Linked DNA regions of Neodiprion lecontei. The protein of the gene in region 1 interacts with the protein of each later gene in a pairwise test. Links are inferred from orthologs where the notes say so. Each region holds a gene or a part of one and is shown on either strand. Other genes may lie near its edges.

Region 1 (7,800 bases):
GGAGATGAATCCGTATCCCAATGATTCCTACATAATGTATACAGACTATTTAATAAGTACATATTTTCAACAACCGTCTTTATAGAGCTAAAGTGTTTATATCGTATTATTTTTATTTATTTTTCTTCCATATCTTTTCCTCTTTTCTTTTCATTTCGTTTCAATTATTTTATTTCGTCTCTTTTTCTCTTTCTCGTCAAGTTTTTTTTTTTTTGTTTTTTTTCCTTTTTTTTCTATCATTTTTTTTCACCTCCCCCCCGTTTTCTTTCGTCGTTATTTATTTATTATTTATTTATTTATTTTTTTTTCCCCCCCTCTTATCATGATGCGTTATTTTTTTATTTCTTTTTTTTTATTATGAAAACATTTGAAAAAAATCACGTTTTTATGTGTTTAGTACATACTATGTTAATAATAGTTAATAATAACCATTAATAATAGGTATAGGTATAATCTATCTAACTATTAAAACAGCGTCATATTAAAGTCTATCTTCCTCCTCCTCCTCCTCATCGTCGTCGTCGTCGTCGTCGTCGTTATCCTCGTTATTCTCCTCGAGCTCCTCCCTGTACCCGGGGTGTTCCGAGATGGCGTAGTAATTCCCGTTGTAAATAACACCTAGTTCCCTGAGCACGTCGCCCCTAATAACGGCCTTAATAGTCCAGTTGTAACATCCATCGTTCTCGCTCTCCCTGTCCAATCTCTCGACGTCCAGTATCTTCGAGCTTAGCCTTTCTAGTATAATACCGATATCCTTGATGCTAAGATGGTGCTTCTGATCTACCGTGAGCTGATCGATGAGAAGTAAAAATTTTTCCGAAGTCACTACCTCGTCCTCCATTATCGTATTCTCCGTTTCAGACTCGGAGCTGTCGTGATCCTGGTGCAGATGATTGTGATGGTGATGGGTATGGGAACCTCCGTGCCCGTGGAACTGACCCGACGAACTTCCGGCACGGTACTGGTGACTGGGTCCCGCCTCGCTCTCGTCGTCCCGGAACCTGACGTGCCCTTTTATCACCCCGGAACGCCTCGTGCCGTCCGAAAGCGAGGACTGCGGCTGCGGCGACGGCGTCTGATGTTGGGCGTCCTGGATAGGCGATGTCGCAACGGATTTGTGAACCGCTATACGACGACCCTCCTCGTGGAGTGCGCAGCAGTGAAAATCGCACTCGGCCGCGCTTCCTCCGTCGGCACCGTTCACGGGACTACCGTTCCTCGCTACAGGCTGATGGATGTGATTCGAACACTCTGGTGTGTGGATATGGATTGTGGTACTGTCGAACGAGTTGGTACCCTGCTTAACGAGACGGCTACCAGATGTAGAAGGCCCGCTGCTTGACGATCCCGGTAATAAGCTGGAGGCCAGCATCGGACCGTAGGAACTATGACTCGGACTAGTAAAACTCTTCTGTACCATATCGTCATGATTTATCACAGTTATTTGAGGGCTGCTGTAACGAGGACCACCACCACTACCAACACCGGCACTACCACCACTACCACCACCACCACCACCACCACCACCACCAACGCCTCCTCCTAAGTCGCCCGCTCCGTGACCTCCAGCTTTTCCGTTACCTATACCGATCCCGATCCCGTCGTGATAATTCTGCAGCTTGTCCAAGCTCGTCTGTATCACTAACGACGGTCTCTGACCACCCGAAATCAGTTCGCTCTTCTTCGTTGGAGAATATTTCGAGCTCTGACCGTCCTGTGACTTTCCCCCCTGCTGCTGTTGCTGCTGCTGTTGAACCTGCGACGATGACCGCTGATCCCAGTGGAGCACCACTGTGACACGTCCTTTATTGTCCATAATTTTCCAGGATGGCGTCTCATCGTGCAACTCCAACGCGTGGATCGTTTCGCAGACTATTTTCGGTATCGCCGAAATCGCTGCAACAAACACAACGTTCAACGTTTTTTACAATACGCCTCAACCTTATCACACAACGAATCGCACTGTTATATATCATTTCGTTGTAATAATATCAATTTTTGTTTATTTATTTTTTTTTTTTTATTTTTATTGTTTTTTTTCTATCATTTTCGACAAACAAGAAACACAAAGCGCGTAACTTTATCGCATTTAAATGTTGAAAAGGGGGTTAAAAAAAACTACGGATCGGTTCAACTTCCAGAGAGCCGGATCGTACCGTCTGAACTACTACTGCCAATCCCTTTAATCCGCTTGCTGGTCAGACGCAACTAATGTTCACAATACTGCGGTAGTCGCACCCCGTAATGGTTATATGCGAGCCCATTACGTGGCAATTCAGGCTGCACCCGACCACCCTGCCCACAATTTCGAGGAGGAAGTGATATCAATGATCGTAGCAATGGTTGTAGAAGAAGAGACGTAGGCAAAAACAACGAAAGAGAGGAAACAATATTGATGCGATGAGTAAACGAGAGAAGTTAGTGCAAGAGGAAAAGAACACACAAAATTACAGGGGTAATAGAGGGGGTGAGATACGACCGGTTAAAAAATCCTGATAACAATAAATGTTGAGCACCACTAATTACTCTGTGTAATTAATTACATAGAAATTATCAATTAAATTGGTAACTTGTAATTGTGAAAAAAAAAGACAATACCAATTAGATTTGTAATTAGAAGAAAATCCGATACCAACAATAACTATAGACGTAATTTGTAATACGAAGAAAAACTGATACCAATTACATTCATAATTTGTAATCGGAAGGAAAAACTATACTAATCACACTCGTATTTTATATTTCAAATTATTCTAATTACAAATTACAATTGTAATCGGTATTTTCTTTTTCTACTCAATCACGAATAACTAATGTAACGCAATGTAATTAGTAATTTCGACGTAATTAATTACACAAAGTAATTAATCGTGTCCTGCCGTGTACGTCGGATCGCAGAAAAAACTCTCTCACTTTTTCTATTCAATATTAATTGTTTAAATATTGTAAAACATTGGCACAGTTAAAAAAAGTGTCAAAAATTTTTAGAAACAAAAGGCATGAAAAACGGTGCCACGAGGTCTGTTTTCACGTCTAAGGGACTCTACGAGAAGTTTGAAATATGTTTGGGGTGAAATTCACCCCAAGTAACCTATTAGGGTTAACCGGTCACATTTCGCAAACGCGACTTCGGAAAGCACATGTTCTTCGGTTTAATTTACTCAGTTAATTCGACCCCTCTGTTACCCCTATAATTTTATGTACTCAGTTCTGGGACACCCTGTACACATATACAACGTGCAGAGCGTTGGAAGAATTGGAATCTGACGATTGACCTCCTTCGCAAATTGTTCCTTATAAACAAAAATTGAATTCCAATAGAGGTAATCGTGTAATACGATCTTCGGTTGTTCGTTCGTTAACATGATTCACCTGCACACCATTTTCCATAATTCCGTTTAACGCCTTGCGATTTCTATACGATGCAGGTTGTGCGATGATCGGTTGAAGAATAAAGGTAAAAGAGAAGAAGAAAGAGAAGAAGAAGAAGGAGAATAGAACAGGGATCGAAAACGATGAGTGAGGAGATGGTCAGCGATCGGAACTTCATGCAAGAGGAGTGACAAGTATAAGGCAGAGCTGGAGTGAGCCAAGGAAACGTGTCGTACCAGCCCGAATGATGTCAACGCCAGTGGGACACCACCTTTCACCATGTCGCAGGAGTAGCAGTATCGTGTTGTTCGCTAAAGTCTTGAAATATTCCCCGTCCTCGACCTGCGTACCATCCGATTCGAGCACTAAAGAGACCTTCTCATTTTGGGGAACGCCCAATTTTTCTTTACCTGAAATTAAAATATAACAACACCGTCATCACATTGCCCCAATCAATGATCTTTCAGAACCTACTGATAGTTTTTCAACGCCTTATATAAATTGTGTTACATGCAAGATCGGATTCCTTGTTATCACATCGGCATCATCGTCGTCATTCGTTCATTCGACACACTTATAGCGGGGTGGAAAGCAAAAATTACAGACTTTATTAAACACTGTATCCATCACTGTGAACCATCACTGGGATGAGACACTTGTACAAGTGAAGAATTTTTCATTTACTGTGCTTACTTTTGGTTTACGATTGACCCCGAATGAGGGGGTGTGTTTATACGGTTCACTATCGACGAAGTAACTTTGTATTTACTCACCGCGGTGTAACAGTTCTTCAAAATTGCTAACGACCAGTCCCTTTCTTACGTTTCGCCAACTGTCCCATATCTTAAAAGGTCTTTTGCTCCGTAACTCCTGCGGCACAATAGACAAGCAATTATATATAGCAGCGCACATTTGCGGAGGCAGTATAACGTTGGAATACAATATACTGCATAGGGCATCGAACGAATCGTTGGCTGGAAAAATTCACCGATCAAAGATTCGCATCTGCGGATCTTCTCGGATGACACCAACATTTATTTGATAAATAATTTGACTCTGCAGCGAAGGTTAATGAGACTGGCCACTAATGAATCAGTGATAATATACGTAATCGATCTCGATTAATTCTCAATTCAATGTAACGACACTGCACGTTCACTATTCTTAAGAATTGATTATTTCACCACTGGTATGAATAAATATGAATAATGATAACAGAGTGCAGCGGATTGGATGCAATTTGTATAAAACGAGCGGTGGTCTATAACCATGTCTTTTCAACTGGGCGTGACAGATATCCAGTAATTAGACAAAATGCTTTTAAGAGAAAAGTTGAAGAGGGGTCTGCAGGTGGTATAAAATACGATTTGAAACGTTAGTTATCCCCCTCCCTTCGCATCAATTTAGGGTACCGGGCAAAATTTGCATAGCAATGGGCTGAAGTATCTTGAATATATACATATACCTATGTGCAATTATTTTTTTTCCCTTTTTTAGGCTCAATCCTCGAGACAATCCCGTGAAAAATTACATATATTAATACCCAAATGAATAAATGCAATCGTTATAAGTATACGTGAAATTTCTGACGCGTTCTTTCTGCTTGCCGGGAGCAATTAAAAAAAAAATACTTAAGGTAAATGGAAAAGAAGTTTGAATAAATATTGAGGAGCTGGGTTGAAAAGGTTTGCGAATTATGTTTGGGTTACTTTTTAACGTTTTCAACAGGGTGGCGCTAAGCGGTAAAAGCGCACGCGCGACTTATGGTCGAAAACACTGACCTCATTCAACCATACTCATGAAAATATACATAATATGACAAATTATCAAACTGCAATGCTCGTCTAACGATATACTTATACTTGATGACACCGAATACTTATGGTATAAATATTTTATCAATAAACCACCCATTTAATCTTAAACACTCTGTTACATATAAAAATATATATATAGAAAGCTTCTCTGCACGGCAGAAAATTCATTGAATAATTGTTCACAGTAACGAAGAATTCAGACGGAAGACAAACGGGCGTTTTTTCGAATATATCATCACTCGAAAAATAATGAATGAAATGTAAGAGCTATAAGTATAATTGTAGATTTTCTCGGCTCACCTCTGCTGGCATTCGCATTAATATAGATTAAAATAACTATCGATCGATATCGGAATCTAACGTTACAATAACGCTTAAATCGTTGTGGATATAAATGGATTACTTCTGTTCGATGGTGATAAATTGTTATTAAGGGATCAAATAACGGTACGGTACGACACGATAAACGATTATACGAGACGTGAGCTATGGATGCGATAATTAAAAATTCAAAAAGTATGTACACTCGAAGTAAAATGATAACGAGGTCTCCGCGAGAGATCAAAGTAAGAATGAAGAGGACCGCGTACGTTGAACGACTGCACGGGGTCAACTCCCAGGGAAGTAGGTCACGGGTGTGTAGGGAGGAAAATAATCTCGCCACTGCAAACACGTATCAGCGTTCCACGACAAGGGTGACAAGGGGACGGGGTTTGAATCCCTGGGAGAATAAAAACGATATTACAAATAAGGGAGTTGCGAATGTTATTGAAAATCAGTAATGTCACGGGAGGATGATAAAATTGATGTATAGTGCACCCAACGAACGAATGGAAGGGGCGCGCATGCAGGGATGGTACAGGGGAAGACTCGTGTGCACAATCTTGAGATATATGAATAAAAAAGATTTTGCCATACCTCTCTTGCCATTACGTCATATCCCTGCAGGTACGGGACCGTCCCACAAGCACTTATTTAAAAGAAGTAGCGGACCGAACGCTGCAGCATTCTGATCGCGCGGTTCTCGGAGATGCCGGGTAGAGGCGGTCTAAACAACGGACCCTAACAAACGGGTCCCTTGGAAACTACATCTACCAGGAAATCCCTCATCCTACTAGGTATCTTACAATTACCCGATCTAAGATTTCACTAACGCATATGGGCCAAATTGTAACAGTGGCTTCCTCCCAGCGGTTACTGCGGCGACTCCTAGTTTTAGATCGATTCTCTCTCCGTGTACGTACGGACACCCTCACCCTCGCCCTCTGCACCCACCTTGCCCTCTTCGCCCTCGCTATATTCCTCCCACTCACTTGCCTCGCGCCCGGCGAAGGTTTCCTCTTCTTCTTCTTTCCTACTCGTATTCGCTTATATTATTCGACTCGCACTCGCCTCCCTGAATACCTGCCTACCCTTAAACAGCCTACGTCTACCCTTACCGAGTATCCTTCTCGTCTTACGCATTAAACTCGCCCGCTCGCTCCCACTCGCGCCCACCCCTGCCTGCCGCACGCCCAGTCGCGCGCTCTCTCGTATTCCGATTTTTCAACGCCTATACTCGCCCACTCGCCGGTCAACCCACGGGAAAGTTCGAACCACGATTCGAACGCCCTCGTAAGACTTCGCCAGCGACGCGCGCCGCGCCATTTAAATGCAAAATGGCGCCCAACTTGGAAAACTGAAGCGCTATCTGTGGTGTTTCCACATAGTTAGCCACTTCTGCAATCGTCAGACCCATGGTTGGAGGAGAGGACCATCTTCAGCTGTTGCTCTCTCTTTCTAATTACGGCTTCAGCTAGCTGCACAGATGGCATAGTCTGTCTGTATTATCTTGTAAGTCTATGGTGTACAAGCCCGATGGCTACAATCTACAATGAGGATGACGGACTTGAGTAAATCCAAGTAATTCTTAGTCTATGATCAGAAGTTGAATATTTCTATTTTTTTTTCATCTGTTAACCTTTTTGCAGCAACGTCTATCTCGTTCCGTTCGCGGTTAAAGGCATGTACCAGTACACGTGTTGAATAAAGAACGGTGGCAACGTTCGCCGCGTAATGTATTTCGGAAGAGGTTGCAGAGTGCCTTGAGAGTACAATTGAAGCCAGGAAACTACCCTTAAAACCAATACAAGATGAGCACTATATTGGAAAAGATCGCCTCGATCGAGGCTGAGGTAACCTATAAATGCGTTAATTTTTGAACAGCTTCGGTGTCCGCATACCCATTCAAATCACTCGACATCCTCTAATAACATGAAACCTCGATTCTCAGATGGCTCGGACCCAAAAAAACAAGGCGACGTCCGGCCACTTGGGTCTTCTTAAGGCAAAGCTAGCCAAACTTAGAAGAGAACTGATCACCCCCAAGGGAGGCGGTGGAGGCGGAGAACAGGGTTTCGAAGTAGCCAAAACCGGTGACGCTAGAATTGGGTTTGTCGGTAAATATTGAAAGCACTCTGATTAACTGCATTCGATAACATCCCGTCTTGCGTTACAACAGGATTTCCATCCGTTGGCAAATCAACCTTGCTCAGCACTCTTGCCGGTGTTTATTCCGAGGTAGCTGCATATGAATTCACTACCCTCACTACCGTCCCTGGTTGCATCAAGT
Region 2 (8,010 bases), on another chromosome or scaffold:
TGATGGCAATCGTGTACGCTGCCGTAACAGCAGGGACAGCAGACAAAGATCGCATTCCTGCTTACGCAGTGTTCGATAACCAGGTCCGTCGCCACTCCGCAGGCATGGAGAGATACACCAATGTCAAAGTGTCCCTTGTAATAGTCCAGATTACATTGATAAAATCTAACATTTGTTAACTGAAGTTTCTCCACCCTTTTCTTGGCTCTGTTTAAACTCTCCTCTTTATTTTCTAGCAAAACTACTTCGCAGTTGGGCATCAAGTAGGCTATCAATATCCCCAGATGTCCTCCGCCAGAGCAGAAGTCGACGACTACATCCCCTATTTTTGCCAATGCCATTACAGGCCTGCACAAATTTTCTAACTGCTCAAACTTACGCTTCAGTCTCGTTTCGGGCAATGCACCTCCCTCTGGCGTTGCTTCAAACGGGATTTCATCCCAGTTCAATGTCATTTCCGATCCAAACGGTTCCGATGCAAGCTCGATGCTGATGCCTAGCTCACTGATTAATGCAAATGAATCATCTATGTCAACTTGCTTTGTGTAAATGCGATTACGAGGCTTGTATCGCTTTGGATCGCTCTTATACAGGCTATGGTTTTCAACGTCGGGAAGAACATAGCTGGTAACCCGGTTCTCAAAGCTCGGAGATTCCAAGTGTCTTAAACATCTCAAACTTTCAGATATCATTTCACTCGAAAGCATCCTCGTGTACCACTTTGCTGTCAGTGGTATGAGTTCTAACAATTCACATCTCAATGCGTGGAGTGTAAAAAATGTGTGGATGCAGACAAATATTATGATATCCGCCAATGTGATTTGAGATCCCTCCGCATAAATGTGTTCTGGTATTTTATCCCTGTTACCCGTCATAGTGCCATTGATGGAAAATTTTTTCGACATTGTATACTTGTACAAATTGTGCAATCTCACTGGCTGCGACATATGACATTCAAATCTTGCGATGCTTTCAGGAATCTCATTCGTATCGCTACTTGAAGTTTGACCATGGATAGATTTCAGGGTCGAGATTAAATCCACCTCGCAAAACTTTGTCCAGATACTCGACTCCGAGCAGGCCAGCAAACATGCATCCTTAAATCCTAGTAAGGCTTTGCTGTAGTGCAATGGCGTTTCAAAACACCTACTTTTTACTATTTGACGTAGGGTCGCGCAGAGCCCAGCCACACATGTCGTCTCGTTAACTATTACGTTTGGAAGGTCGCACGTACTCGCATATCGTGGTAATTTGTCTACTTCCATAACTGTGTAAGTAAACCCGGACAGATCAATAAAATTAGACCGTTCCTCATTGCGTGTTTTTTTTGTTACAACCAAGTTAATCGATACGCGAGAATCACAGTATTTTATCGTGAACAATGTTATTATGGTCTCTATCGGGGCGAGGCACAAATCTGCAATGGAATGAACCTCCAGGAAAAGCTGGTTGGTTTCCATAGTCCTTTTTTTTTATATCGTGTACGATAGTGTCACAACTCTTGAAAGTCTGAATGCTACAGAAATGCAGTTCAAATTATACTATGTGAATTTTATATTTTTTTCAGAACCTGAGCTGGTCGGTACCGCCAATCTACACACTAGCTCTGAGTTGTCTAGCCACTTTTCTGACTATTCTTTGCCGCAAGATGTTCTCCCTCCAGTAGACGCTGATGCAAGATAAGACAGCGAGACCAAACATAAGGCCTTCAAATCTCCAGAAACTGCGCTCCTCCAGCCAAGCAACTTTATCACAACTGAAAAGAGTACAAAATGTAAAAAGATAAATGAACCAGTTCAAGTAAAATGTGGAGTTATCACAAATCATGAAAACAATCATAATAACAATCCTTACCTTCTGGTTACAGTTATACCACTCTTGCGACATTTCAACACTTCCTTGTTGCTTGTATGAATGCAGACGCCGATGCTTTCGCTCGCTATTTCGAAAGCTGTACACGGATGACACTCTAATATCACATCAAATTCTTCATTGAGATAACAGCTCGAATTCTTTTCGACAGACTCTACAAATGCCTTGCTGCTGTCCGTGTCTGTCCAATTGCTTTCAATAATCAAGACGAGTATCGTCAACCTGGAAGAAATGTTTTTTTGTAAGTACAACACATCTCTTGCAAAAGTTACAGTATGGTTATATACATGTATATATAAGCAAAAAATGGGGATCACGCTACATAGCTTTGCGCAAAAATGATGACACATTTTTATTGGTCAACAATGCGAACGATAACAATTTTGAAAATATCGTTAATCAGGGTACTGATACTGAACTAATATTAAAAGAGAAAATCCACTCTTAGGTTATTATCGCTAGTGGTTTACAGCAACTGAAAACGTGGGTATGAATTTTCAAGCTGATAAGTGTTATTGATAGAAATGAGAACAGACCCTCCTAAAAAAGTGACGGCTATGAGCATCCGCTTTTTTGTACACGACTCGATCATTGTAATATAAATTCAAAAACTGATGGATTTACATTGAAATGCGTACGTCGATCGACGAGGTGAGGTTATGACTCACGTTAACTCACCCTCCGAATTCGACGAATAATGGATAAGACAGAACCCTTCGTTACCCGCAATGCAGTGTGCCTTGATTGCATCACAGTTCGTCAGTATCCTTAAAGAATGCCGAAAATTGCAGTATTCTGCAATACCAATTTTATTCAACATTGGGATCCCACAAGACGAGTCGGTAAGTGGCAGAGTCGTAGAATTTACCCCCAAACCCGCTCAGATCCGGTAAATCATTTCGAAAAATAACGCTGAGCTACCAGTCTTCATACATCTTCATTCAGCGACGGGGATCATCTACGCTGTTTTAAAAATAACGCCATCTGCGGAGAGGCCGAGAATCTCTTTGACCGAGAACTGATCTTGAAACGAACCTGTCATTCCTGTCATTCTAGCCAAGAGCGCAAAAACTGAGCACAACGTCCTCACCAAAAAAACTGAGTGTAGACTGCGGGTGGAGGAGATACGATATTTATTGCGCAGACGGTTTTTTCGAGCGTGGGAGGGGGACAATAAATCGTATGCCTTGATGGTACGCCCATTTATTTATAAAGCCTTGAAATGTGTTCGAACGATCAACTATGAAAATACATCAAGTCAATATATATACAGTAATCATTTCAAGGGATTTCATTGACTGCCAGAATATCATAAATTTCTTTTTCTCTTCGATTAAATAGGAGAAATGAGCAACAAACTAAAGGAACAGATCTGCAATTGATTTACGAACCATTCAATCCGTGTATAGTATGTCGTATATAGGTTTTGGCAGGTGATCACTTAGTAGCGCTCTTATTCTCTCTCCACGAGACACAGGCATGTATCGCCTCAATGGGAACGTTCTCACTGTAGCGTCGGTCAAAGCTCTGGTAGTTTGAGTCAGATCCGCCTCCGGACCAAGCGTGTATCTCTCTAAGGCAATCATCTCCTTTTGGAATAATTCTTGACCATACTCACGCCGTGTTTGGGGGTCGAGCTGTGTCCACATATCTCTTGCCTGCTCCAGCAGAGAGGCATTGTCTTTCAGCCAGGCACTGCCCGACACATATTCCCCGGTCTCAACTATAACAACATCCACACCCCATCTCCGCATTTCCAAACGTAAGCAATTTCCCCATGCCTCTACCGCTGCCTGTAAGTTTTTTGCATATTTTAGGGACCTACGTGCAGTAGTACAGTTTTTTTTTCGGAGAAAATATACGGTCTATAAACAAAATCAGTTGATTTTCAGTTCCCCACGATATACTCTTGCGCAGATTACATAAAATATTTGGGAAAAATTCAAGTATTGTGCTTCAATCATATTGTCATAAAATATGTACTAAAACTATTCTCAATGAATAACGTACATGAAATAAAAAAAAGCATAGCAAGGGGTTGAGCTGCTTTAGAGACCTCGGAACACATACAGAAACTAGCGCCTTTACAGATTCACAAACCAAAATAAAAAATACTATGAATTTCCATTAGTCAGATAGCGTACAGTTTTATCCTGATTTCAAATTTGCGCTTCCTTATCAAAGTAGCCGGTGTTCAGAGTAATAATTTTAAAAACCTATTGCAATTCATTATGCACAACCGAGTTTGTCACCTCCGGTCTTCTTACCTTTACTGCACAATGTATCCCTCGCACTGGGCTTGGGATTCTTGCGAAAAGGCTTCCTACAAGTATAACGCGTCCCTTAGAGCGTCTCACTAGTGGAAGGAATACCTATTGCACGATAAAAATAATAATATGCAAGTGTCATAGTTTAGCAAACTTGTTGTACAAATGTTTTTACCTGCGTCAGTCTCGATACTCCAATGAAGTTAACTTCCACGCTACGCTTTAGCACCGAAGATGGAATCCACTCACATTCTCCTAGCGCCACCCAGGCGTCAGCATGTACCAAACCCCACAAACCTATAATTAAATTGGAATGCTTGATTTGACTTTTTCAGACTAAGTAACGTAACTCTGGCTGGTCTATTTACCTGGAGCTCCGTCGGGCAAGTGCTCATTGACGTAGAGGAAAGTTGAATGGATATCACGCTCGCTTGTTACATCCAGTTGCAGAACACGCAGTCTTCCTGAGCATTGATCTTTTAGTTTGCACGCTATCTCATTGTTCTCGTTCTTGTTTGAAAAAGTCGCAAAAACTGTGAACCCCTTGAAAGATATTTAACAATGGACATATTATTATCGAGTTATCATTGTAATGATTGTGCATATCGATATTTTGTAGGTTTTTATTTTTATATACCAAGTCGTCCAGCTGCTTCGCCAAAGCATTTCCTACCCTGGAGTCACATCCTGTTATCAATATTGCCTTTCCAGCCGCAGTTACCTATGATAATAATTTTCTTCATCACTGTATTTAGTAATACGTAGCGATGTCGCTATTATGGCCTCAATCGTTAAACTTGCGGATATTTCACTTTGAATAATTGACTTTATTTCTCTTTGTTAGGCAAGTGTGATAGTTTACCTTTAGATTGTGATAGAATAAAGTAGAGCCGAGAGATACGCTGAGAAATAGAAGAAACAGTACAAAACTAGATATCTGCGAAATACCGAAAGTGTTGAGAATCGTGGCAACGATAACTGCAACCGCGTGTGAGAATACGAATGGCAAAAGACATCGTTCTAACAACTCCCACGCCTGGCTGTCCTCGGGTGGTTTATTCAAAGTTTGTGGCATCACACCCTTATTTAATTTCAATATGGATACTTAATAATTGAACTAGTTTACTAAACGCTAGCCAGAGCTCACCTAGATGCCTGAACTGGACTAAGCCCAGGCTAACTTTAAACTTGATACGCTGTCTAGTCTCATTCGGCTAAATTTATCCCCTGCAGCGATGTAGGTACCCAAGGCCCGAGTATGCCTCAGCATGTTTTTTATATTCCTCAAAATACATGTAGATATAGGTGAATCATTTAATTCTATTAAAATTGGACTCTGCTCCAATAGTAAATGCATTGACGTAGAAATCCCATCAACTAATCAAACTTCATATTTGCTATTCACAAAAACTTATGATTATCCTCAATCTTGAAGCCAAAGTGTCCCACCTATGAAGTTCAAAATTGAAAAAATGTATAATACATCTGAAACGAAAGTGGAGAGCAAAACAGCGTTTAAAAAAGAAAAGAAAAAAGGAGATCCTCCACCATGCACTTGCAGATCTGAGGTCACTATTATTGATTTCAGTCTGGGTGCCATGTTGGTAAAGGGAGGAGTTGCCTGTCTGGTTATTCTATGTATATACAGAGAGTACTGAGTGTATAAATAGGAAGGGTGGTTACACCATTGACCCAGTGTTCAGTTGGTGCAAAGTCGGTTCAGTGGCCAACAAATGATACTTTCTTTTTTACTCTACGTCTGTACAGTAGTGATATAATCATATTGAATTGCCACACCACTGACAACCACCATAGCCAGCGAACAGCTTAAGAGATTGCATTCGGATTCCACCCTCTTTTGCCTACATTCAGTATTCATACAGTGCTCACCAAATTGCGTATTGTCATCCTATTAAAATACCCTGTTAAACAGAAGTTTGCTCAAAATTAATTGAGAAAGTTTCATTGCCTAATAGTGTCATATTATCCTTACATATATTTACAGTTTATCACTGTGATTTCACCCAAGTGATTATCGAGTAAAAAGTTGAACGTGAAAGACCCATAATTCGACTGTGTTCTAAACAATCACTTTGGTAATTTTAATATTGATATCATATCTCTGGTGATATAAATAAAACAAGGTAAGGAAAACCATTATAAGACCCAATCTATCTATCAACATTAAACACTTTGTGAAAAAACGATTGAGAGCCACTTTGAATAAGGATATATTGAAAGGATATGTTCCAAACACGTTTTTCAATGATATAATTTTATCCAAACAGCTTTCTAGATTCTTGAATTTTTCATTACAAATATATATCAAGAAATTATTATACTATACTTCCAATAAGACTAAGCAATGAAAGAAACTCTGTGTGAATTCTTATGGCTTATCAGAACATTTTATTTTCATGACATTTATACAACGCCAATCTAATTTCAGGATGTCAGACACTGCAGGGGCAGTACAAGCAACAGCTTCCCCGTATAAGATAATTGATCATGCGAGAGAAAGACGCAAGGGCATTACAGCCTCGTCACTAAAAGAACTCACTGCCATAGCTAGAAACCGATTTGACTTGCCACAAGAAGAGCACCTGACCATTGTTTTGGAACAGGATGGTAAGTATTGTTATTTTAGATTGTAAATATCGATTATCTGGTGATTGACAACCTTAATGAAGTGTGAATTGCGCAGGTACCGAGGTAGACGACGAAGAATACTTTGCTACGCTTGAGAGAAATACAAGCTTGATGGTCCTGTGTGGCCATCAAAGATGGTCAGCTGCTGGAAGCTCAGCTAGTACATCACGCTATGTTCTGCTGGATGATACGGATAGTGGAAAAGAAGGAACATCAAGAAGGAGGGAACGTGGGAATGGGGCACAGATCAAGCCGCTGGTCTCCTCACTGCGTGGAGATCCAACCCACATTTCGCTATTAGGTGGAAACGACTTGGAACTGCTAAGTGATATGGATCCGGAAAGTCTAGCAGACATTGTGCCTGACAGGTGAGGGATGGGTGAAGTTTTTGGGAAGAGAGAACATGTTGGGTGATTATGTGGGCAGTCTGTTGAGTGTTTGAAAAAAATTTCTGCAGGATATTCCTGGAGCAACTGAAGGAGGCGTCAGGAAGATTTTTAGCCGAGAAACGACAGGCGCAGGAATCAATGGCACTATTGCAGATGTATGCAAGCGGAGGAGAGATGGAGCGGGCGTAGGCCATGTGGGGGGTCGGCACCCTCACACTGGCAAACATGTACCGCATTCGAAGACGTCTCATATACAAGGGACGTCACATTCAGCAAACGATGATTTTCATCTGGAATTGAGCCGAAGTTCCATGTCAAATTACCCAATGAATATGGGGCAGAAGGAAGGGAGTAAAGTTTCTGTGATTCATACGTGTATAGATATCTGCCGACTGAATGATGGGCAATTTTTATGTCCTACGTAATGATTAATGGATGATCACAGCTTATAATACACGCTCATAATATTTGGCATACCTTCTGCATTACAGGTATCGTACGTCTTTTATCGGAGAGAATAAATAATTGCAACTTTGCACACAATCGTGTAGGTAAACATACCCTACATAGAATTGCGTTAGGAATTAATCGGCTATAGTATACTGACCCTTTGCAAAATATCCAGTAAAGTATCATTCCACCGCTGCCGAGGCTAGAGCGTAAAAATAATTTCCTTGCAAGGTAGCCACATCGATATTGGCCCAAGGATTAGGATTATATATGATTTTTATAAATGTTTATTACACATTGTATTTCTATAAGAGATAGGTTTTAGTTGATACCAAGTTTTATGAAATGTTTAAGACTGAATTTCATTATATTGAGAGGTAAGT

What was found.
Region 2: the proteins of uncharacterized protein DDB_G0272682 (region 1) and DNA fragmentation factor subunit alpha interact in a two-hybrid assay, tested with the Drosophila melanogaster proteins (2 studies listed by BioGRID). The link is inferred for Neodiprion lecontei from reciprocal best matches to the Drosophila melanogaster genes Drep2 and Drep1.

Annotation. Positions count from the first base shown.
Region 1 is NC_060261.1:2,386,636-2,394,435, forward strand, and holds uncharacterized protein DDB_G0272682, read right to left. Parts: upstream 6,009-7,800; 5' UTR 5,508-6,008; coding exon 5,490-5,507; intron 4,243-5,489; coding exon 4,146-4,242; intron 3,783-4,145; coding exon 3,609-3,782; intron 1,897-3,608; coding exon 482-1,896; 3' UTR 288-481; downstream 1-287. Other genes in the region: GTP-binding protein 128up, read left to right, coding at 7,322-7,363, 7,462-7,627, 7,690-7,800.
Region 2 is NC_060264.1:25,801,449-25,809,458, forward strand, and holds the start of DNA fragmentation factor subunit alpha, read left to right. Parts: upstream 1-2,094; 5' UTR 2,095-2,113; intron 2,114-2,408; coding exon of another isoform or gene 2,409-2,464; exon of another isoform or gene 2,465-2,496; coding exon of another isoform or gene 2,497-2,498; exon of another isoform or gene 2,499-2,556; intron 2,557-2,695; exon of another isoform or gene 2,696-2,714; intron 2,715-2,826; exon of another isoform or gene 2,827-3,266; coding exon of another isoform or gene 3,267-3,665; intron 3,666-4,139; coding exon of another isoform or gene 4,140-4,244; intron 4,245-4,314; coding exon of another isoform or gene 4,315-4,436; intron 4,437-4,507; coding exon of another isoform or gene 4,508-4,682; intron 4,683-4,776; coding exon of another isoform or gene 4,777-4,860; intron 4,861-5,001; coding exon of another isoform or gene 5,002-5,214; exon of another isoform or gene 5,215-6,283; intron 6,284-6,588; 5' UTR 6,589-6,589; coding exon 6,590-6,767; intron 6,768-6,843; coding exon 6,844-7,156; intron 7,157-7,245; coding exon 7,246-7,366; 3' UTR 7,367-8,010. Other genes in the region: glutathione S-transferase C-terminal domain-containing protein homolog, read right to left, coding at 1-1,460; protein JTB, read right to left, coding at 1,594-1,756, 1,855-2,094, 2,409-2,464; D-beta-hydroxybutyrate dehydrogenase, mitochondrial, read right to left, coding at 3,267-3,665, 4,140-4,244, 4,315-4,436, 4,508-4,682, 4,777-4,860, 5,002-5,214.